Linked DNA regions of Daphnia pulex. The protein of the gene in region 2 binds, or shares a complex with, the protein of the main gene of each other region. Links are inferred from orthologs where the notes say so. Each region holds a gene or a part of one and is shown on either strand. Other genes may lie near its edges. The genes, in order: cleavage and polyadenylation specificity factor subunit 6-like, transportin-3-like and serine/arginine-rich splicing factor 1-like.

Evidence for each region.
Region 1: the proteins of transportin-3-like (region 2) and cleavage and polyadenylation specificity factor subunit 6-like are in contact, whole or in part, in a crystal structure (PDB 6GX9), measured with the Homo sapiens proteins. The link is inferred for Daphnia pulex from reciprocal best matches to the Homo sapiens genes TNPO3 and CPSF6. Residues at the interface, in NP_036602.1 of Homo sapiens: Arg620, Asn656, Arg657, Glu660, Arg661, Arg664, Arg667, Phe668, Arg671, Ser698, Cys699, Tyr702, Ile706, Asp709, Asp747, Asp750, Asp751, Arg754, Arg758, Gln761, Cys793, Arg797; in NP_008938.2 of Homo sapiens: Tyr521, Arg522, Glu523, Arg524, Ser525, Glu527, Arg528.
Region 3: the proteins of transportin-3-like (region 2) and serine/arginine-rich splicing factor 1-like are in contact, whole or in part, in a crystal structure (PDB 4C0O), measured with the Homo sapiens proteins. The link is inferred for Daphnia pulex from reciprocal best matches to the Homo sapiens genes TNPO3 and SRSF1. Residues at the interface, in NP_036602.1 of Homo sapiens: His155, Arg157, Arg160, Thr167, Tyr254, Ile256, Glu257, Glu304, Glu340, Ile341, Phe343, Asn344, Tyr347, Arg348, Glu351, His352, Lys355, Thr356, Arg620, Asn656, Glu660, Arg661, Arg664, Arg667, Phe668, Arg671, Ser698, Cys699, Tyr702, Ile706; in NP_008855.1 of Homo sapiens: Ser116, Arg117, Arg118, Ser133, Trp134, Gln135, Lys138, Asp139, Arg142, Glu143, Gly145, Asp146, Cys148, Tyr149, Ala150, Asp151, Val152, Tyr153, Arg154, Val172, Arg173, Asp176, Asn177, Arg181, His183, Tyr189, Ile190, Arg191, Arg198, Pro200.

What each region holds. Positions count from the first base shown.
Region 1 is NC_060024.1:13,143,862-13,151,127, reverse strand, and holds cleavage and polyadenylation specificity factor subunit 6-like, read right to left. Parts: upstream 4,872-7,266; 5' UTR 4,794-4,871; coding exon 4,734-4,793; intron 4,535-4,733; coding exon 4,298-4,534; exon of another isoform or gene 3,657-4,297; coding exon of another isoform or gene 3,489-3,656; intron 3,339-3,488; coding exon 3,111-3,338; intron 2,855-3,110; coding exon 2,209-2,854; intron 2,135-2,208; coding exon 1,982-2,134; intron 1,915-1,981; coding exon 1,466-1,914; 3' UTR 1,228-1,465; downstream 1-1,227. Other genes in the region: RNA-binding protein 1-like, read left to right, coding at 1-209, 271-495, 572-623; uncharacterized protein LOC124200042, read right to left, coding at 6,929-7,266. UniProt on the Homo sapiens protein: Component of the cleavage factor Im (CFIm) complex that functions as an activator of the pre-mRNA 3'-end cleavage and polyadenylation processing required for the maturation of pre-mRNA into functional mRNAs.
Region 2 is NC_060023.1:7,819,082-7,826,505, forward strand, and holds transportin-3-like, read right to left. Parts: upstream 4,798-7,424; 5' UTR 4,637-4,797; coding exon 4,520-4,636; intron 4,454-4,519; coding exon 4,250-4,453; intron 4,184-4,249; coding exon 3,941-4,183; intron 3,883-3,940; coding exon 3,727-3,882; intron 3,658-3,726; coding exon 3,446-3,657; intron 3,386-3,445; coding exon 3,229-3,385; intron 3,167-3,228; coding exon 3,020-3,166; intron 2,960-3,019; coding exon 2,757-2,959; intron 2,692-2,756; coding exon 2,552-2,691; intron 2,488-2,551; coding exon 2,195-2,487; intron 2,115-2,194; coding exon 1,833-2,114; intron 1,768-1,832; coding exon 1,399-1,767; intron 1,338-1,398; coding exon 1,170-1,337; intron 1,101-1,169; coding exon 988-1,100; intron 905-987; coding exon 844-904; 3' UTR 545-843; downstream 1-544. UniProt on the Homo sapiens protein: Importin, which transports target proteins into the nucleus. Specifically mediates the nuclear import of splicing factor serine/arginine (SR) proteins, such as RBM4, SFRS1 and SFRS2, by recognizing phosphorylated SR domains.
Region 3 is NC_060024.1:10,559,296-10,566,170, forward strand, and holds serine/arginine-rich splicing factor 1-like, read right to left. Parts: upstream 4,761-6,875; 5' UTR 4,579-4,760; coding exon 4,409-4,578; intron 4,353-4,408; coding exon 4,248-4,352; intron 4,121-4,247; coding exon 3,987-4,120; intron 3,926-3,986; coding exon 3,753-3,925; intron 3,695-3,752; coding exon 3,652-3,694; intron 3,591-3,651; coding exon 3,427-3,590; 3' UTR 2,952-3,426; downstream 1-2,951. Other genes in the region: U4/U6 small nuclear ribonucleoprotein Prp3-like, read right to left, coding at 1-1,590. UniProt on the Homo sapiens protein: Plays a role in preventing exon skipping, ensuring the accuracy of splicing and regulating alternative splicing.

The DNA.
Region 1 (7,266 bases), on a different chromosome or scaffold from region 2:
TCGTCCCGCCATCAAGACTGGGATCCGCGTTGTAAAGTCTATGTTGGCAATCTAGGCTCTAACGCGGCCAGAGGCGAGATCGAAGAAGCCTTCAGCAAGTACGGCACACTGAGAAATGTCTGGGTAGCAAGAAATCCCCCTGGCTTTGCCTTTGTTGAATTTGAAGACCCGAGAGATGCAGAGGATGCAGTTCGTGCCCTTGATGGAGTGTGAGTTGCAGTTGATTATTGACAACAAACAATCTGTTATTTATGCTATTGTGTTTCACAGGCGTTTATGTGGTGCCAGAGTGAAGGTGGAAATGTCTACAGGCAAGAGGAGAAGTAATGGCTTTGGTGGAGACCGTGGTGGACGTGGTGGAGACCGCAGAGGAGGTGGTGGGCCTCCAGCAAGGAGAGGTGGTGGATACTCACCCAGACGATCACGTTCACGCAGTCGTGATCGTTTCCGCGACAGGAAAGCCTCTCGATCAGTCTCTCGCGACCGAGTTCGCAGGTAAGATCCTTAACTACTGACATTTTCTTCCTGTTGCAAAAGCCATCAAAACAAACTTTTCTTTTTGTTATTGCAGGGACTCACGCAGTCGTTCACGTTCCCCCAGCTACAGCAAGTATGCCGATTAATTGATTCCGGTCTATCACATACACACACACACACTTACCTGTTGTGCAGATAATAATTTTCAAAGCAGAAGCTCCTCCACTTTTTCTCTTTTCTCCTTGTCGCTGTGAAAAAAAACCGTCATTCACCTCCTCCCCTACTATGATTCCCCTCCTATTTGGCATCCATTTTTTTGTGTGTGACCAGCAGTGGCGTCAGCTGCAATCCTGGGCTTTTCATCATTTTTTTTAAATTGCAAAACAAACGGACTTGTATCACATGGGCGCATTTTGTTGTGTGAAAGAGTTGCGGGCTTAAAAATCGTGCTCATTCCACATGCGCAATACACACTTGAGGATTTCCCCCCTTCTATAAATCATCATCAACCTCACATCGCCTTTCCATTTCAACACGCATCCGAAAAATCTTGAATTTGATGTGAATGGAGACGAACAAAATCGAAGATGTCGGGCGCAACCCACTATTGATTTTCGTCGGGACTCTACTACCGACTGATAAACCGCCCAGTGAATTCAACATCCATCACATCTTTTGTAATCAATTTCTACATTTCATGGACTTAAATACTAATGTTTCGAGAAATCAACCGATGACGTACAAAAGTAGTGAATGAAATTGAAAATGTTTATTGTTTCAAGAAAGTTTTTAGGGACTTGGGAGGGAGTGACACACCGAAGCAAATTATTAAACGAAATAAAAAAAATCGTGGTTCATACGTGTGTTTAAATGCTACCAAGTCGCGGTAAATACGCGAGGGGAGAAAGATATTCTGATTAATGACGATAATTAAAGTTGTCAATCGTTTTGTTTGTTTCATTTCTCATCCGTATATGATGCTCGTCTTCTAGTGTCTCATGCTCCGGGATTCCCTGTCGTCACGAGAACGTAGTTCACGTTCCCGATCCATCCCTGGATCGCCGCCTCGTCCGCCTCGCATACTTCCGCCTCCACCATCTCTTTCACGGTCCTTGTCTCGATCAGATCCTCCACCGCGACCACTGCCACCACCTCCTCCGCCGCCGTAATCTCCTCGCCTGGACTCTTCGTGCGAAGAGTAACGTTCTTCGTAATTTCGCGGGTTACGCACTTCTCGGTAGTCTCGCTCGTGACTTCGAGAGCGGTCTCGGTCACGCTCTCTCTCCCTTGGACGTTCAACGTAGTCCCTTTCACGCTCGCGTTCCCTTTCTCTATCCCTTTCACGGTCTCTGTCCCGGTCCCGTTCACTGGGCCTCTCGCGCTCCCGACTGCGTGAACGTCTTCTCCTCCTTTCGCGATCTCTCGACCGGGATCGTTCTACAATCAAAACAATTTCACGTTAAGAATGTTTTTTAAAAAAGAAGAAACTAGATGATGCGGGTACCTCTTCGTGATCCGTAGCTCTTGGCCTCAATGCCGTGCAACGTATCTTGCAAGGAAGACACCAGGATCTTGCAGCGCTCATCATGCGCCACTTTTGACTGTTTGATGAGCGAAATGGCCGTTACTAGCGTCTCGATTGCACTGGCGTAATCACCTGATTGGATGAAGAAGACAGATAAGTTACTACTGATTTTGGTTCAATGAGCAAAATGAAGCTTGAAGACATACCAGTTGAGGCATCCGCAACAGCTCGAGCAATGGCGGAAGAAGAAACTGTTCGGTTGCGGCCCATCACTTCCTCGAATTCGGCTTCACTGACGTTTGGCGGCTCATTGGTGTGCGGTGGCCGATTATCAGTGATGAATGGTGGTGGTGGGCCGATCGGTGGAGGGAATCCAGGCGGAGGTGCCGCAACGGGCGGAGGGAAGAATGCCGGATTGACGTGAGGAGCTGGCTGCTGGACTATGTTGGCCCATTCTGGCCGGCCGTTGCCAGGAGGCGGAATACGATGAGGATTCATATCCATTCCGGGCGGAGGCCCACGCATCCCCATGCCGGGTGGTGGACCTCGCGGTACGACCGTAGGTGACATGACCGGATGTGGAAGAAGGTGATGCGTCGGTGGCGGAACGGGAATGCCTCCGGGTGTCGGTGGACCACGAACTGAAGGTGGCGGAGGTAATGAGAGACTCGTTAAAGGTGGGGGTCCGGATGAAGAAGCTGACGGACCCATCATCATCCTAGGAGGAGGCCCATTCATTGGAGGAGGTCCGAGTAATCCGACTGTTAGCGACGGAACTCCGGATGGAGCAGAACCGGTACTCCGCGGAGGACTTGATTGTCTAGATGGGCGGCTCTTTGACTGCGCCTCAAACTGAATAAGAAAAATATTTTGACATTAAAAGAAATGCATAAAACATAAATGTTTAAAGATGTTCCAGTCAAGTCGTCCGTTAAGTGTTAAATTGTACGACACTTGTAGGTTTACAGACTTGATTGGTTTTAATGTTGCATTACACTTTCCCACCTTTGAACTGTATTCAATTTAGACAGTCAATGGTTCTACTGGTATGCACTTGGAAAAAATTCGTCTAGCAGCACTAAACGATTAAGAAATGTTTTGATCTTACCTGATTGAGCGCCTGTTTGGATGTGAAGGTGACGATGGGCGTCTGTCCGTGCAGATCCTTTTTGGGAAGTTTGTCCATGCATTGACGAGCGCTGATCTCGGAACCGACGGTGATGACGCAGAAGCCTTTCGACTGGCCGTTGGCTCGGTTTTCATGAAATCGCACCTCCACCAGGTCTTGGACGCCAATCGCGCTGATTGCATTCTCCACGTCGGCATCTGTGGTCCACTGTATTGTCCAACAACCACAAAATTGATGTTGTGTCGTTGTCGTTTGTTGTTGTTTTGGATTGGGTTTGTTTGTTTAAAAAACAAAAGAAAGAAAGATAATATAGAAAAACAAAGCATGAAAATCGTTTTCTGCCGATTACATCCATACCATAATTGTATTGGTCAAATAAAAGATATTTTGATCGGGCACCTTTACACAGCCGCGCAATTTGTAGTGAGTGTATGCCAGAGTGCAGTTTCTTTTTCTTGTCATCATCAAAGATGTTCCTGCACATGGGCGCCAGCGGTTGTTATAATACGTGGCTGAGATTGTCATATCAAGCGATATCCCACCCCAAACTAACAATTCATTCGACTCAAATATCGTTTGGCAGAGATGACGATTTCAGAGATCAAAGGAGAAAAAAAAACATGGGGCGATGGATGTGGCACATCAGTTACGCAAAACTGATTGACAAGAATTTTTTTTCTGGGGAGTTCTATGGAGGACCGCATCCTGAGAAACGTAATACAACACAACTCAAAAACCTTCAGTCAAAGGTTTTGATAGGGGCTAATGATAAGTTTTGATGGACTACTTATGATAGATCAATAGATGATAAAAAAAATTATTTAAAAAGTGCAGATACACAGCGTACAACATGCATGGTCGTTCATGTCCCTGAATTGGTATGCCTTCTCACATACACATACATACATCAACATTCATGATGCCCTTCTTTCAATTTTGAATGCCATCATACAGTTTTATCACACATCATAGCCCCTCCATCATAACAACATGGTGGCTAGGTTGATATCACAGACTTAACAATTTGATTAATGTCGATAAAATAAAAATAAACAATTGGGAACTATCTGGGAATGATTCGATATACAGCACAATTACTTTTTAGATAAATAAAACGACACTTTGAACAATTGGTTTTATAAATGGAAAGGTTTGAATAATCGTACCCACGTCAGATTGCCCACGTACAACTGGATCCTTTTGGATTGTGATGAGCTGTTGCTGCCATGAAGCTGAAGTGGAGTTCCGATCAATGAAGATGAACCATGTAGAGAGCTGGATGTGATATGAGAAGATAGCGTTGAGATCTTCTCCTTTCCATTTAGTTCCTGCTTGATGCTCGTTGAAGATGTCAAGACGTCATCATACAAGTCAACGCCATCGCCAATTTGTTCGTCACCATCCTGTAATCAGTTAAGAAAATAAGTTAAATGATGCTGTCTCATCTAATAACGGTAAACAGCAAAGACGCCACGCCAAACACTGCGGTGGGATAACAACAGAAAATGAACATAAATGTACATAAATAAGTTATTGATAAACGAACTACAGAATATTAACATCGCATTCTTCCGGTAACTATAAATAAGTACGTAAACTTACACCATGAAAATCATCACCAAGATCGTCGGCATACAAGTCAATATCAGGCACGTCAGCCATTTTATGAAGTTTAGTCTATGGCCAACGACCACAGTCTTGAACTTCTTCTCTGTTTCCACCAGTGCTGCCACTTCTGAAATAGCAAAGTCGTGCAGGGTTGCCTAAAAAGTCCCGAAAATCCGTTTTTTTTTTTTTTAAAAATCCTGCACTTTATCTTGCACGATTTTCTTCAAAATCCCGCAAAAATCTTGCAAAAAAAAAAAACCCGCATAAATCCGACACGATCCAACATAATTTCCTAGTTATCCTAGTATATTTGAAGTCTTTTCTTGTCAGACAGGTAAAACATTATTTTGATACTGTTGACCGACAGTTAAAAGCTACACGGAAGCTCGGTAGGATGCTTATTTTAGCCCTATTTCAGCACTTTAAGATTACTTAACACGTTACGCTTTTTGGTAAGAATTATAAACAAACTGAAAAGCAAAATTTCATGCTTCTTCGAAGTGTAACATGCTTACAAAAAAATAAGTATGTTTATAAAAATGAAATTAAGTATGTTTACAGAACAAGTACTTTTAGCAACACACTTATCATAGATTTAACGTACTTAAAGTTTTAAAAAGTATGTTGATGCTTCTTAAGTATGTTAAATAAAAAAGAACAAGTCCTTTAAGCAACACAATTATCATAAACTTAACGTATTTACTTTATTTATAAACGTACTACCCAATGTTTTCTCTGCTGCAACGAAAAAATGACAGAGTCCATTTCATTAACCATTAATCAAGCCCCTTTGTGGCACCTTCGAGATTTTATAAGTCTCCTTTCGTTTTTTTTCTTGATTAGGAAATTTAAAAATTAAGTTTTCGTATTGTTTTCTCTGTTTGTCATTCTATACCTCACTGTTGCACCTCTTGTGTCGAATAAAATCAGAGGAAAGGAAATAAATTTGGCAGGGCCAGTGTTTCGTGGTTGTTATTTTGTCCGTGGCCTTGGTTAGTTCTTCATTTAGATTGATGTTTTCTTAGTACTGTTGATATCACATTATTCTTAGTATAACCTTGTGTTTTTCTTTTTTTCTTGATGTTTTACAGTCAGATATTCAGTGTTGATTCAGATTCTTAGTTGGAAAGTTGTTGTTTCAAATTGGCTGCTGTTGAATATTTGTCTGTTAGTTGGTGCATCAGTTTTGTGAGAAGAATTTTTTTAAAGTGAGTTTTTTGTCAGATATGAATAGTGATTAGTGATATGAATTATTGTGATGAGTTTAGCTAATGTTGTGTGAATTATTATGTGTTACAATTTAATGAAGTGAAAGCAATGAAGATTGTTTTTTTTATCGAAGTGAAATGTTGAAATGTGATAAACATTAAATGAAAGCTGTGGTGAGTCAATCTATTTTTTTTCATTTATATGGAATGTTTTATGTAATGAATTGCAGAGATAGGAATGATATAAATGTTTGAATGATTGATGCTTGTTGTATTTTTTTTGCGGAAGATGGTGTTGGCAATTAATAATTTTTATTGACAAAATTTTTTTTGTAATCTTGCTCGAATGGTATGATTGAATCGATTTAATGGATTGTGAAGAAATATATTGAAATAAGAAATTTTTTGTTTGTTATTGGAAGGTTTTTTGAAGGTCGGTTAATATTATTGTCATTTATTAGGATTCTTAGATTTTTTTTATTGTAAGGGGATATGATACATTAGAGATAAGTAGATAGGGCACTGAAAATTGCGATTGATAGTTTTCGTCGTGACACCTAGCGGCTAATGTTTGTATTTCATTTATAGTATATAAATTCTAAGTTTTTTAATTGAGAAGGAAAGTAGTGGATTGGAATAAGGAGAGTTGCTGTATGTTACATTGTCAATGTACATTCCTCATTTTAAAAAAATATGTTTGTATCTAGTCACTTCAGTGAATTCGTTGACAGAATTCTTTCAGTTATCAGGTCATGGACGTGGAATGAAAAATGGAGTTGAAGCATTTTCTTTTTTCATTTTATCTGACTGATGAAAAAGTTTATATTTTATAAGATGACATTCGGGTTCAATGAATGTTTCGTACATGGTGATGTTTTTCAAATGGTTTATTGATTTATTTTATGTGACGAAAACTTATTAATGCATACAGTAGTGAGCGTTATTAATATGAGTTTTGAATGGGTACAGTACAGTATTTTATTAGTTGAAGTAGATTACCATTCCAATGATACTCAGAATACATAGAATGAACATAAAGAGAAATAGACATTCTACTGAAGACAGATGTCTGATGTTGAATGTACTGTAAAGTGACGATGATGATGAAGTTGTAGACGATTCGCTGCGTGCAATAGGTCTAGTGATGATGACTTGAGAAAGGGAAGTATTGTCTTCGTTGATTTCTGAAATTGTTTCACATCTCAGGGTAGGAAATTCCATTTCAATTGAAGACGAGGTAGAAGTGTGCGGTAATGGGGCTGTTGGTTGACTGGAAGTAGAGGCGCCTACGTTGATTGTATCGTGCGTTTTCATTTTTT
Region 2 (7,424 bases):
ACCAAAGGAAAAATATTTGAAATTAAAATATTAACTTACCTTTTACTTGGAATCTTGAATTGCTCTGAACCGACAAAGTGTTGCTTCTTTCCGCAAATCTTGACGACAACTGACCATCCAAGACCTCCAAACGGGTTATTTATACCATAATATCGATTATTGTACATTGGTCATCGTATGATGACGCGTGTGAAGAGGAAAGGACGCGAGTATACCTGCAACAGAACACGGGCCTAGAGATGTTTACTACCCAAAGCAAGAAAGGCTAGTGTTTTGAATTCACTACACGTGTCTGGTCATGGTCAACTACAGGCTACAGCTCACTCGTGTTCATCGGAGACGAGCACGAGCTAACACCTGAAGATGAGCAATCGCCTAGAGCATATCCTTCTTTTATGATGACCACCAATCAAAGCTTATAGCTTATTATGCTCTTGCATACAGACAAGAAAGATCCGTAGATAGGCCTATTTTACATATGAATAATCTGGCGTTCCATAAAAGGCGAAATTTGTCTTGTTTTTTTGTTTTGGATACATGAAAATTTCCATGAAATGTGTATTAGTAGATTTCCAGCTTCATTGTGCGATGGTCGACGATGTTTGAGAGGAGCGAGGGAGGGAAACTGCGTCTGGATGTGTTCAGGTGCACTATGACATTCCCTTGATTATATTCCCAAATGTACAAGGGTGGGAGGAGGATTTAGCCGAAGTAAAAGTTAAATGAGTAGGAGCCAAAAAAAATTAACCAAATTAACAACCAACTCATTAATTGAATTTTAGGAAGAAGCGTTTAGTAGCTTGAAAAACATTATCGAATGAGTCATCAACAAAAGTCAGGTTTTCACCGATAAAGTCTGGAGAAATCACGCAATGCATTTGACAATTCCAACGACGTTTCCGCCCTGAATCAAAATAAGAAATATAGAATTATTAATAGAAGAAACAAAATCATTATTTGGCGGATGGACAATTTAAAAAAAGTTACCTGATAACTTTTTGGCGGAAATCTTGTAGCTGCTCGGGCCTGACGGCGACACATCCGGCAGGTGACTGACGAGGTAGATTCTCCAGCGTTTGCTCCATCCAGCTGGAAATGCTCTGTTCCATGAAATGAATATTGATTAGCAAACGCGGATAAAGTTGTTGGACGAAAAGAATTGGGCTCACCTGTCGATCGACTAGCATGAATTCGAGCAGAACGTCTGCCACATTGGGTAATGAACACGTTGACAACGAGAATATCGAGGCGGTGATTAGAGTGCTGATGAGCATCTGACCTTTAGGGCGAAGCACCGTTGACAGGAGTTGGTCACGGAGTTCAAATGAGAGTTTCTCCTGTATTAAATAAAAAACGTCAAGTTTTCATCCGACCAAGTTATCTAATATTACGGCAAACCTCTCGAGCCCGCGTGGTGTGGATCAACTCGGTAAGAAACTGCATAACGCTGGCATTGGCGTCTCGGTGATCCAGTGCAGCCGCCTGCATGGCACAATCGAAAATGGCTGGTAACGCCGGGCTATGGAGGAATGCGACTGGATTGCGCTGAAGGAAGCGAGCGAATAGACGGAAAAGGTCATCGACTGTGTCCGGATTGTGGCAGAAACCTTGCTGTTCTTGCAACAGCTGGAAGGCGCGCGGTAACAGCGCTTCCAGCATCGAAATGAGACCGCCGATGCATTCGTTTTCCGAACCGTATTCGTCCACTAGGATACTTGCTAAATAGAGGAAGCAACTATGATGATGAGCATTGTACAGACGCACCATCTAAAAGGAAAAGAACGAGAAATTAATCTATGCACGCTACCATGAAGGATGACAGAAAATCAAACCTGAGTAACGAGCGGTTGCAATAGAGGAGCAGACTGGTGGCCAATCAATCGTAGAGCGAATCGGAGGCACCTACAGCAGCGCTCCATCACTCTTCTGTCAGTTTGGAATTTATCCAACGTCATGGACAAACACGGCCAGGTAAAAGTAATGGCTGACTGGCATGGATGCTGTTCGTTCTTTTTTATACTGATATTTAAATTACGGAACACTGAGGCTAGACGATCCAACCAGTATACCGGATCACTGCTAGTTTTGGCGACGATTTTCGACTGACTTTCCACCTTTGAAAGCAAAATTGCCAAAGTTAAAAAAATATTTGTCGATTATCGTCGGTAATCAGTAAAACTGCAAGGTATATTACCTGGGAAATTCTTGTTAATTCATCGACATGAATCTTGCAAAGCTGGTGCAGAGCATCGCTAATCTGATGGTCGGGTAATCGACTGCAGACTTTGGTAACCCCTTTGACTACTCGCACGGCCGTCTCCGTTGGAATGGGTAACGTGACCAATGCACTCACTACTTGCAGTAGAATATCGAAATGAGATTTCAAATGATCTCGACAAATGCTGGTGATGGCCTCCAACGAATTTGAAGCGGCCAAAGCCAACGACGGATCATTGATGGAACGTAGCACACAATGAAGCACAGGCTCTACAAAATCGGGAGTGATAATTGAATAATAATTTAGCAAAATCAAAGAAGAAAAAAGGCTCACCGACAACGGCAGGATGTTTATCCATCCAATCACCCAGTTCACCCAGAAGAAGCAGTGTTGTAAAACGCACTGCTGCATGGGCGCTTTCTGGTACTAAAAGTAACGACTCAATCACACTCTGCACAACCTCATTCTCGTCACTGCAATGGAAGAATTGAATTGTTAAATGGCCTTAGCCGGAGTAATTAAATCCAACGAGAATTACGGCAAAATGTTTTTGGCTACAGCTTGCATGATAAATAGTGCCGACTCTGTCACCTCCCACGGAAGATTGTTTTGGCCATGAATGCTGTAGAAACAATGTTTAAAAACGGAAGCCGAGCCGACGATAAAGACCACGTCTTTGACCAGTTCAGACACTCGCGAACGAAAGCCAGCGAAATCATCGCCGTCTTCCAGCACACCTTCCTGTTTATAAAATAAGATGCTAACTTATTTTTGCTACTTGTAAAACTAATTGATTCTTACGTGATCCGGTTCCATTTGACAGTGACGACATACAGCACCAATCAGTCGTTCGATATAAGGTTTGAACTTGACGGTTCGATCGTCGTCATTGGCGTGGTAAAGATCTTCAGATAACTTGTACCAAAATCCAAACGTAATTTCAGCAACCTTGTAAAAACATTGAAAATAATGAAATATATTAATAATAAAACCAGAGTGATATAATTTACCTCGTAGTCATGATGACCTACGCAGGTCAGCACTAGATCCAATAAACCAAACAAATTAGATGCGTTCGTCGTTCCGTTGTTGTTTTTGGTCGACTCCAACATCCGATGAAGCAAGGCTTCGGCTATTTCAGTGAACACACGACAATAGTTCAACGCTCTAAAAATAGACTGCAATGAGAACACCAAGTCATGGCCAGGCAAATCAATAAAGACATACTTTTCCGTATCTTCCTCCGCAACAGCTAAATGGTAGGCAGGTTCAAGGTTTTTAATACTTTGGACAAGAGAATCTTCAAGAGTACGAAGCTCGTTCAAGGTAGAGGTCAATTGACCATTCTGAGCGGTTGCATCTTCATTTTCTTGATCTGCAACTACTTGAAGCAAAGCACAAACGGCATCACATGCTGCTTCGTGAAGCAATGGAGTGCTCTGTGTTGTAAACATAGATTTAGAAATGATGACAGAATTGATAAGGGACGAATCAAATGTAACTCTTACATGGTGAGAAGAGAGAGTGGCAAATACATGAACTAATGTGGCACAACTTGTTAATTGGTGTAACGTAACAGCTTGCAAATGCACCCAGGATGAAAAACATCGTAACAATCGCACACCAATCAAACGGTCTGAAGATGGAATGGTCAAACAGGAATCCTGTAAAAATTGAAAGTTAGGAACTGTTTTCAAGCTAAACTTGAACTAAATAGCCAACCAAGAGATTCAAAACATTTTGTGTTGAGGCAGCAAAAAGTTTGAGAACTTCAGATCTCCTGTTTGCTCCAAGCCTTAAAGTTCTGGAGCCCATTTCTTCAGGTAACACAGTCAAAACTTCCAACAAGGGCCAAAGGTGAGTGGTTTCAAAATTGTTTTTTGGTCCAAACGTCTGAATCAGATCCTGGATTGGGGTATTCCAACTTGTCATTTGTAATAACAAATCAGCTAATGCCAAACACAGCTGGGGAGGAAAATGGAAAAGTTATTATTTTTTTTACATATTGCACCTGGAAATTATTTCAATTACCTGAGTAACAATCACAGTATTAGTGTGCTCATTTATCTGCCTCAAATGATCGAGCATGGAGTCTCGCAATGAACTGTGTGCTTCAGGAGGCAGCTCGTGGAATGCAAACTGAATTTTCGTCCTTAATGTCTGAGCCCCAAAGTAGCATGATTCCATGTCTTTTTTTACATGCAATAAATGATCGGCTATCTTCCATGCAAATATCTAGTCAAAGCCATTATGTTACTAATTCTTGGAAAAAAACCAACGAAAAATGTGATGTGTACGAACCGATTTTTGTAGATCCCCCAGCCATTGCGAGGCTCTTTCTTTACTTACAGGATCGGGATTATGGTATAGGGCGTTAAGGGCGTCATACACAACTTCTATGGCCGGGAGCTCGTTCATGATTATTTCAATGTTTTTTCAATTGTTATACCCTTTAATCCAAGACGATAAAAAATGTTGTAATGTGAGCAAGCCGGGAAGTTGTTGCAGAGGAGTACTACTAATCAAAAAGTCAAACACAGTAACAGACCCGAAATTGACAGAGAAATGTCTGCTAGGCTAAAACAAAAATTGATCAACAACGATGCCGGTTTCACTAATCCGACGACGGTCGGCTGCGGGGTAATAAAGCGCACACACACACACGACAAATGGGGCACGGGCCATGTACCGTACGGACTGGGACTGACCGGCGCACAGAGTAATATTTCCAACGTCCCAGAGAATTCCCACCTGCAAAAATATGTGTTCATATGCACTTGATCAATCAGAGAAGGAATTACTTATCTTTTAGATGACACATTTCTCTTAATAATTATTAACGACAACGGGAAATAAGAAACAGATTGCTCTTCTCGGAAAGTCGAATGAACGGTCCGACTGAAACATATATGATTGCACCAAGTAAACAAATATTTAAAAAACCTGGTGTATAAATGATGATTACGAATAAAATGTATGAAGAAATAGTTTTTAAAAAAAGTCCTCGGGGTAATAATAAATTGTTGAACTATGCGCGCCAATTTTTAATCTTTCAGAAGTTTATTGAAGTAAAGTTATACTTATTGGTCTCCACCTCCATCAAAGCGAGACAGAATGTTACCTTGAAAAGCTCATTAGGGCAAATAGCTCCAGGTGATTTATGAGACAAGATAAAAGCTTGAAGCAACGTGATAGTTGGCGAATTTGCGGTAGCGCAATGTAGAGTGAGTACAGGGGAAAGCGCACATACGTCACAAAGTCAATTTAGAAAATTAAACGTGGATGCAGGGCTCCAAAATTATTAATACAGGATTTTAAGACGAACATTCTTGCTGATGATGACGAATCGCATTCCTGAATTCTTAGCATAAACGAGTTTTTATTTCAAGCATTAGATTTTTAATTTTTTATGAGATTCGAAATAGGATTCATTTCATAAGCGAATAAGACAGAAGAATTATTGAAAAAAACGACTCGATTTTTCTCTCCAAATTTGGATGCGTGCGGGTCTGCGGGAAAGTAGAAGTTGTTCGAAAATGTTGAAGTTTGCCAATTGGCCACCGTTGGCGCACTGTCGCTTTTTTTTCAATTGCGGAAACATTGCATGAGCAATGATGCAATGAGGGTTATGATTCATAACCCAGAAACACCAAAACCTACATTATAAATGCAAATAAAAAGGTGATATTTAATTGTATTCAGTTTGAAAATAATTGAACAATATTTGTTAATTCTGAAACTATGACTTTAATCCAATATGAAACGTTTAAAAGAAGAAGTTTAATTAAAAAGCTAGGAAAAACATAGGAAAATAACTCGTGCGAAGGTGCTGGGATTCCCCTGCCGGCATATAAGGAGGCGACGCCATCAACGACAATATACTTAAACTCGCCATAGTAGTTTATTCCTTCATAATTTCTCACTGCAAAGAAGCTTTCAATCGGTCTTTATCATGATTTCCCCAATTGATTTGATTGCTACTTTAGTTATGTGGATTGGATTGTGTTTTGTCAGTCATTGTACTGAACTTACCAGATCGCAAACAGTTGTGGATACTAAAAAGAGTATTCGTGTTGAACCTGACGTGTTGGGAACCCGAAAGGGTACCGCCATTACTACCAGACCATCAATTACCAACAACAACGACAGCTATCAAGAAAATAACAACAACTTGATAAAGAAGCTTGCAGAAAAAAGCAATGTTGCTGCCGAAAATAAGATCCTGAAAGTCAAACTGGCTAAACTGAAGTTTGAACTAGCGCTCTCCGAGAACAACAATCGGAAGCTCAAAAACGCACTGGATGAGTTGGCAGCCTCTAATAAAAGTGCCATGGAAGCAAGAATACTATTCCTTGAAGAGGAAAATATGCGTTTAATTGACAACCAAACAAAGTCAAAACTTATTATCGAACATAAAGACCGTGTTCTAGAAGCCATTTCTTTGCTTTCATCCGCTGACAATATCGGAGATGAAATGGACAATTTGTGCGATAACAACCTGATTGGAACCGACGAAAAGAAAACGGAAGTCCTTCGACTGCTGGGTGAAAACACATCAGAGAAAACCATCACTCAAGTAACACCAGATGTTGGATGTGAGGAACCCAATATGCAACCATCGAACGACTTGGCAATTTGTCCTGCAACAGCTCAATCTACCGACGAGTATCCCAACGAAGTATTTTTCCAGTGGACATCCAGCTCGGATACCAACTTGGAACCATTGGTCGCTTCCGAATATATAATTTTATTCAACCTACCACTTTGGCTTCACGGTAACGATTACCTCCATCACTTTGAGCTACATGTTGGCAAAGTGGCGAAATACATCATGTTTGCCGACGAACAAGGACAATACATAGGCAACATGGCGTTTTTCTTCTTTGACCCATCGGACACAAGGCGGGCGTATAAGAAATACGATGGTATGCTCTCGGAAGGCAACAGGATCGAAGTCGCTTACTTTATCAATGAACAAAGATCGTACCAGAAGGAAGAGGAGCCGGTTCCAACTATTTCTCCTACACCGGTTGAAGTTTCCCAACCTACCGATGTAACTTCAGCCGATGAACATGATCAGCAGACAGCATCAACCGACTCCGTGGACGATGTCATATCACCACCGGTGGCATGGCCATCTTTCGTCGAAAACGAGAAAGCAGCCGATGAGTACATTCTGTTAAGTAAATTGCCGCCTTCCGTTAAC
Region 3 (6,875 bases), on a different chromosome or scaffold from region 2:
CCGCGTTTCGGGCTGGGAGGATGAACCAGTGTCGTGTTTGCTAACCTTGACGGCGTCCTCTTCCCACCGAATGCGATTGAGCATCAAGCGTTTGTACTTCTTCTGCTGTTTAGGGCCTCCTTCGACTATAACGACGTTAACGTCCTTGAAAATGACTGCGCATCCCGTCATGTAAAGCTGCTTGGCATTGGTCTCGATTTTGAATTTCTTGGATAAATTGGACAAATCCTTGATCCGGTAAATCGCCACATGCACACCGCTCGTTGTCGTGTCTTCTTGGAGCTTTTTCTCCTTCTTTTCGCGTCGCTGGTCAGCCGTCAACTTTCGAGAGGCATTTGCCTCCTGGTGATTTTGAAGTCGTTTGGCCATTTGCTCGCGGACGTGAGCTTCAATTTTGGTTGGATCCTGGATGGCTTCGTTGCCCAACACGCGCATCAAATTAGAAATTCGAACTTTTGCTTGAGGTGGCGGTTCCAGTCCCAAACGGATATTTTCTTGTTTCTCCTTCCAATTTTCACGTCGAGTGGTGCGGCGCAACTTCTTGCGCTCTTTCTCGGTGAGAAAGACGGGCAAATAGGGCAAGGCCAGCGGGTCGGTGGGAGCACGCATTTGGATGGGATGTTCGATTAAATTGGTAATCGTCTCCTGGCGTAAATTGGGCTGTCCGTCTTCGCCTTCGTAGCTTCGTGTTTGCAAGATGACCGAGTCCCACCATTCCAAATCAATGTCCTCCTCCTCCTGACGATCGCCAACTCGTGGGGCAACTAGAGCAAGTGCAGTGACTGAATTGATGCCAGTCTTACGGGCAATTTGAGAGATTTCGCTTTGCAATTTGTCTAACTGAGCCTTCATTCGCATTCGAGATGCCACTTGCTGAAATTTGCCCTGCTCGTGAAAGTGGAAGGTTCTGCGTGTTCTCACGGAGGATTTGGCTGCAACACGTGGATCGAAGAAGCGACTTTCCGTCAAATTTCCCGCTTCCTCGCTTTGTTGTTGAGATCCTTTGCCCATGTGAGTCTTGAGCACCTCGCGTTTTTTGGCACGAATGTTTGCCTTGAGAGTTGGTGTGTATTGGGCCAAGGCAATCTCTTTACCAGTCGCATCAACTGTCCTTCCATCAGCGTTGAGAATAAGTGGGCCAGGTTTCGGCTCATTATTAGACCCTTCCCCTGTTGATGCAGGGACACTGGCTGTTTTAGGAAGACTCAAGTTCAATGTGGCTAAAGTGGAGGTGGCTAGTTTTGACTGAATTTGAGCCTGTAGTTCAGCAATCTTTCTGGCACGCTCATCCATTGAAGATGGGGGAACGGCTTTAGGAGCTACAGGTGTTGGAAGTGATGAGAGCACTGGGGTAGTCTTGAGAAGAGCTGGCGGTTGATTGAGAGATCGTTTCCTTTCCTCAATCATCTTTTGAGCATTCATCATCATTTCTCTAATCTGAGAAGAAGAGAGTTGTTCAGTAGTATCCTGGTCACTCTTTCCATCTCCATTGCTGTCATCCTGGAATCGTGATTTTAACTTTTTTGCTTCTCGACCAGGTCCATCGAGTGAATCTTCTTCTTTAGGTCTTTTTATGCTTGTAGTAGCCATGATTGGAAATACCCCAAAAAACCTATATCACAGATGCCTAAAAAAAAAGAAAGAAAAGTTGTTGTTTACTGAAGAGAAACATTCTGCTACAATGTTATTATAGTGACAATTTTCAACGTACTGAAAATATCTTCTAACAATGTTTAATCTATGACAAATGACGAATGTATTGTGAAATAAAATCATCGGTTTATTGAAGAAAAAACAAAATTATTCTTACCAATGCTTCAATCTTCCACTGTAGTTCGTAACTGCAGGTCTAAACTTGCTCTGTTTAGAGACCGGTTAACAACCGATAAGAGCCTATTGATGCACAGAAAAATCGTAGAAATTCAGATGATAAACTCAAAACGCTGTACAAATATATAATTTCAAACTATATGTTTTTTTGAGTATGCTCAAAGTGAATGTGTAATTACACTATTTTGGGGGAAAATTTGTACGTTTTTATACGTTTTTGGTTACCCAAGCAACGCGAAGACGCCATCTAGAGGAATCTTAAGGAAGTACTGGGACTTTCGTAAAAAGAAAAAGAAGAAGCAAGCGCTCAAGTTCAAAGCATTTTTGTTTCTCATTTTTGGTTCCAAGGACAAGGAGATATAAATTTAGAAAGAAATCAAAACTAAACAAAAACCTATTTTTTTTCTCTGAAACAGTTTCTACGTTAAGTTTCTATGGTGAGTAATCGTAATGCGAATTGTTTTAATTGTTCTTTCTGTGTTTAAGACGAAAAGCAACTTTGTATTTTAAACACGTCATCAAATTTTTGTTTTAGTCTAGAGAACAGAATAATTTTGGTCATAATTTTTTTTTCAAAAGCATTTCACTGGTTGTATTAAATCGTATCATACATAAAAAAATTGTCATTAAAATGGTAATACTGTTTCCAATGTGCCGAAAACAGAAGTATCGGTAAACATCGAAGGAATTTCTTTGTACTCCAAGGAAATATCACCATTTGCAAGGCATGTATTATTTCCATTTTGTCGTCATCCGTCGGTTTCTTCTTTCTCTGTATGATGATGAAAAAAGTGCCTGAAAATCAAAGGGTAAGCAATCCTAAGTTAACTCTTGTCTTAGGTCGGGCTCAATTCCAAAGTGCCGGAGTCCAACAGATCTCTTTAAAATAAACGGGTCCTGACAAGGCAAGTCCACAGCGATTCACCACGACGGTTGTAGACAAAGGAGAAGCGGTTGCTGTTTCCAGCATATCCTCCAGATCCTGTCACCTATCAATCCACAATGCATCCATCCAAATCCATTCCAATGAAATCCAAATCCAATGCAATCCAAATCCCACAACAATCCCATCCAGAGAGAGCAATAACCTTGCTGTGTACGCTACAAATAGAAAGGGGAAGAAAATGAGAATCATGTTTATTCGACGCACAGCTATTTTGTGTATTACAAGAGGGAGGGGAAAAAGGAAAGGATGAGGTTGCTCACGGAAAAAAAAAAATTAGTTGGTTGGAATCGGGGAGCTCTGAGGGTATTCGAAACCAAAAAGGATTACGTGTACGTCGAGAAGAAACTGAATGATTAGTAGCAATAATTGCAAATGCCAAAATCATAACCCAAGAAACATATTTTGAGTTTCTCATAAAAAATTGAAATCTTTGATGTAGCTTGTTGTAAAAAAAAAAAAAATTGGTTTTTGCAATTTAAAAGATTTGCTATTCATCTAAGAATTTTGAAAATATAGTATGAACCATGGAGACAATACCAAAGACCCCTTTCCTCCTCCAGTCCTTCCAATCCTTAAGCTTTTTGTTGTCCACATCGCACAACTTTTGTCTTTTTGTTTAGTTTTGCCTTTTTCTCGTTTCCATAACTTTTTTAAGATCGTGATCTGGAACGAGGTGAGCGTGAGCGCGAACGGGAATATGAACCACCACGACGAACGGGGGAATAGCTGGGGGAGCCGCGACTTCCACGTGTTTTGCCGCCACCACCGGCTGGAGAATAAGATCGCGATCGATCACGAGTTCCGCCGCTGCGACCTATAGAAGAAAAAATTCAAGGTCAATATTTACTTTAAACAAAAATTGAAATATAACTTACCGTCTCCGCTATCTTCCTTAACGCGCACATATGATACTTCTCCCTGTAAACGTACGAATAATTTTGAAAACTTTGTTTATCAAGATTTGTAGAAAATATACCTCATGTGAACGGAATCTTGAGTCATCTAATTTCTTGATGGCGTATTTCATATCCTCGTAGCGAAGGAATTCAACCATTCCAGTTCCATCTTTATAGGTATCAGCATAACACACATCACCAGCTTCTCTCATGTGATCTTTTAAATCTTGCCATGATCCAGTAGGAGGAAGACCTGTGAATATCAAAAGTGGCTTTAAATGATGGTTTAAAACTTTACTAAATGTTTAACTCACCAGTTACAATGACTCTGTAATTTGTTCTTCTTGCTGGTGGCCCTCGACTCCTGCCTCCACCATTGCTACCCCCACCATCACCCCCTCCTCTACCTCCATCACCACCTCTTCCTCCACTTCGACCACCACTACCCCTAAAAAATAAATATTATGAAAAATTAAATTAGGATTTTTACTTGTTTGTCATAATTTCTTTTACCAACAAAATAAAACAATCACAACTAAATTACAAATATGGTATGTGAGGATAGAAAAACTGACCTGTGTCCACCACCAGAATTCTGTGATCCTCTTGGAAATTCCACTCTCAAACGATATCCATCATAGTCATAGCCATCACGAGCATGCACAGCATCCTCAGCATCCCTATAAAGTGCTTGTAATTAACTAAACAAGGAAACAAATATAACCATGCAACATACCTGGGATCTTCAAATTCAACAAAAGCAAAAGGAGGTCCTCGTCGGTTCTTTAAATCAATGTATGCAATCTTTCCAAATTTGTAGAATAAGTCTTCAATGTCCTTAGTGCGAATGTCGGGTGGCAAGTTACCGACGTAGATTCTGGCTTCATTGTTGCGAGAACTTGACATACTGACTGTTTCTTGTCACTTACGGTTAGTTGCCAAATGTGTATGTTAAATCGAATTCGAATACGGAATTTGCTTTTTCGAAAAAAGACGTCACAGTAGTCTTGGGTGTTAGGCGCCCCTTGTCAAACAGAAAAATGCCGTAAATTTTTCTGAACGGGTAATGGCGTCAGCCATGGAGCATTGCCAGATCAGCAAGTTGATAACGCTTTTATTTTTATTTTTTGTCTTTTTTTTATAGTTACTATTTTTGTGATTTTAATTTTTTTTGTTTGCCTATAAATCTAGCAAATAAATCGCGGATGAAAATTAAGTTGAAATAAGTTCATATTAGTGGCTTTGTGAATAATTAGGTTTCAAAGTGAACACGGTGGCACTCTAGTAAGCGCAAACCGAAGACCGAACCACAGCTATTAATGGTTAACTCAGTTATCTCAAAATTATGCTTGTTATCTTGAGTACTTCTTTGTTCTGGTGCAATTAACTGAATGACCCTTGCATGCAGAGCCTATTGCGCGACATTTTTGTTGGGCTCTTGGTAACGACGTTCGCGTGCAATCTATACCTGGTATAAAATCGTACATCAAGGTCGAGTTCTTTTCAACCGCATTGACGTAACGATCAACTTTGTGACAAGGTCATTTGCTCTGGGGGTTATCTCCTTTCAAGAACTGGTATAAATAAACCGGCATTGGTTACAACAATAACCTATCTTTAATTTTTCAGTGGTGCATTTATTCCTTTTTTCCTGTGAAATTTTGAGTTGGCTTGCCATAAGCAATAGCTCTGAAAATTGTAAGTCTGAAAAATAGTTGAGCGTGCCATAAGGGATAAGACAACTTAGATTTGAAATAATAATAACAAAAAAAGTATTTATGTTCTTCTTTTGTGTTCCTTATTATATTTCACAATGTTTTGTTTTGTCCGTTCCGCCCGGAAATGTGATATTTAAAAAAGTATTCTAACAGCAGCAAACGGAAACGCTTATAAATGTTGACGTCACACATTTCATTTTAATTAAAAATTTTAGCAAGGAGAAACGTGAATAATTATTATTGTTAATTATAGTTGATAGACTTTCAATAATTTCCCTGTTTAAAAAAAACGCGCCTTTTGTAACTATCGTTAGAATCACTTGGTTCTATCATTTACTTCTACCGATACTTAAAGCCTTAATACGTTGGAGCAAGGTATTTGTGCGATAGGCAATTGACTGTCAATTTTAGTCCCGCATTTTTTTGCTACGGTTACTACTGCCCTCTAACGGAAAACATTCATTCAGTCAAAAACGTTTTTCCCTCATGAATGCAATATGAAAAATAAATGAGAAATCAAATGTTGTTAACCTTGTATTTTACTAACCAAATTGTAACCATATTATCATGATAGTATGTTAGTATGTTGTTTGAATGAATCAGTCCACTGGTGGCGCTTTGGACACAACTTGACTTACGAACATCAGAGTTCATGTAAGTTGCTGGTAACAGGCCTTTGTTAATATCATTGAAGAAGAACTTAACCGTCTGCAGATCTGCGCCGGTCAGAAAGATCTTGAATTTAACGTTGTCAGTTCTGAGTGTGCTTGACTCTATAGTTGATTTACTGTTGCCGAGGTCTGTGCAGTAGAAACTTCTAGGTTTTTTGAAAAAAAGAAAAGATTTAAGGCTGGTCCTTTAAAACAAGTATTGATTTATTCATCATTTTAGCACTCAAAGTGGCCCTATAACGCAACAGGTCTGATTCATTCCCACTTTTCATCTCCTCCTGCAGAAGTTTTGACAAAATTTTAAAAGAATGGCCGATCGAAAAGCTGTTATTAAAAATGCGGATATGTCGGAGGAAATGCAGCAGGATGCAGTAGACTGTGCAACACAAGCCTTGGAAAAGTACAATATTGAAAAGGTCAGTCAAAATACTTGAGTAATTGGATATTTCAAACATTAAAAACAATGTGTTAAAGGAACAAAGTTGTTTGCTTTCGCTGGTTGATTCATAATACGTTTTTCTCATAGGATATTGCTGCATACATAAAAAAAGAGTTTGACAAAAAGTACAATCCCACTTGGCATTGCATAGTTGGGCGGAACTTTGGTTCTTACGTCACTCATGAAACCAGACATTTCATCTATTTCTACTTGGGGCAGGTGGCAATCTTACTCTTCAAGTCTGGTTAGGGTAACCAACTAGATCCTAATCATTCAACAAATACACATTTTACAAGGTTTTACACTCACAAAAGTGATCCATCCCCATGATGTAACCCCTACTGGTCTCTTGCTCCACCCCCAACCTCACATCGC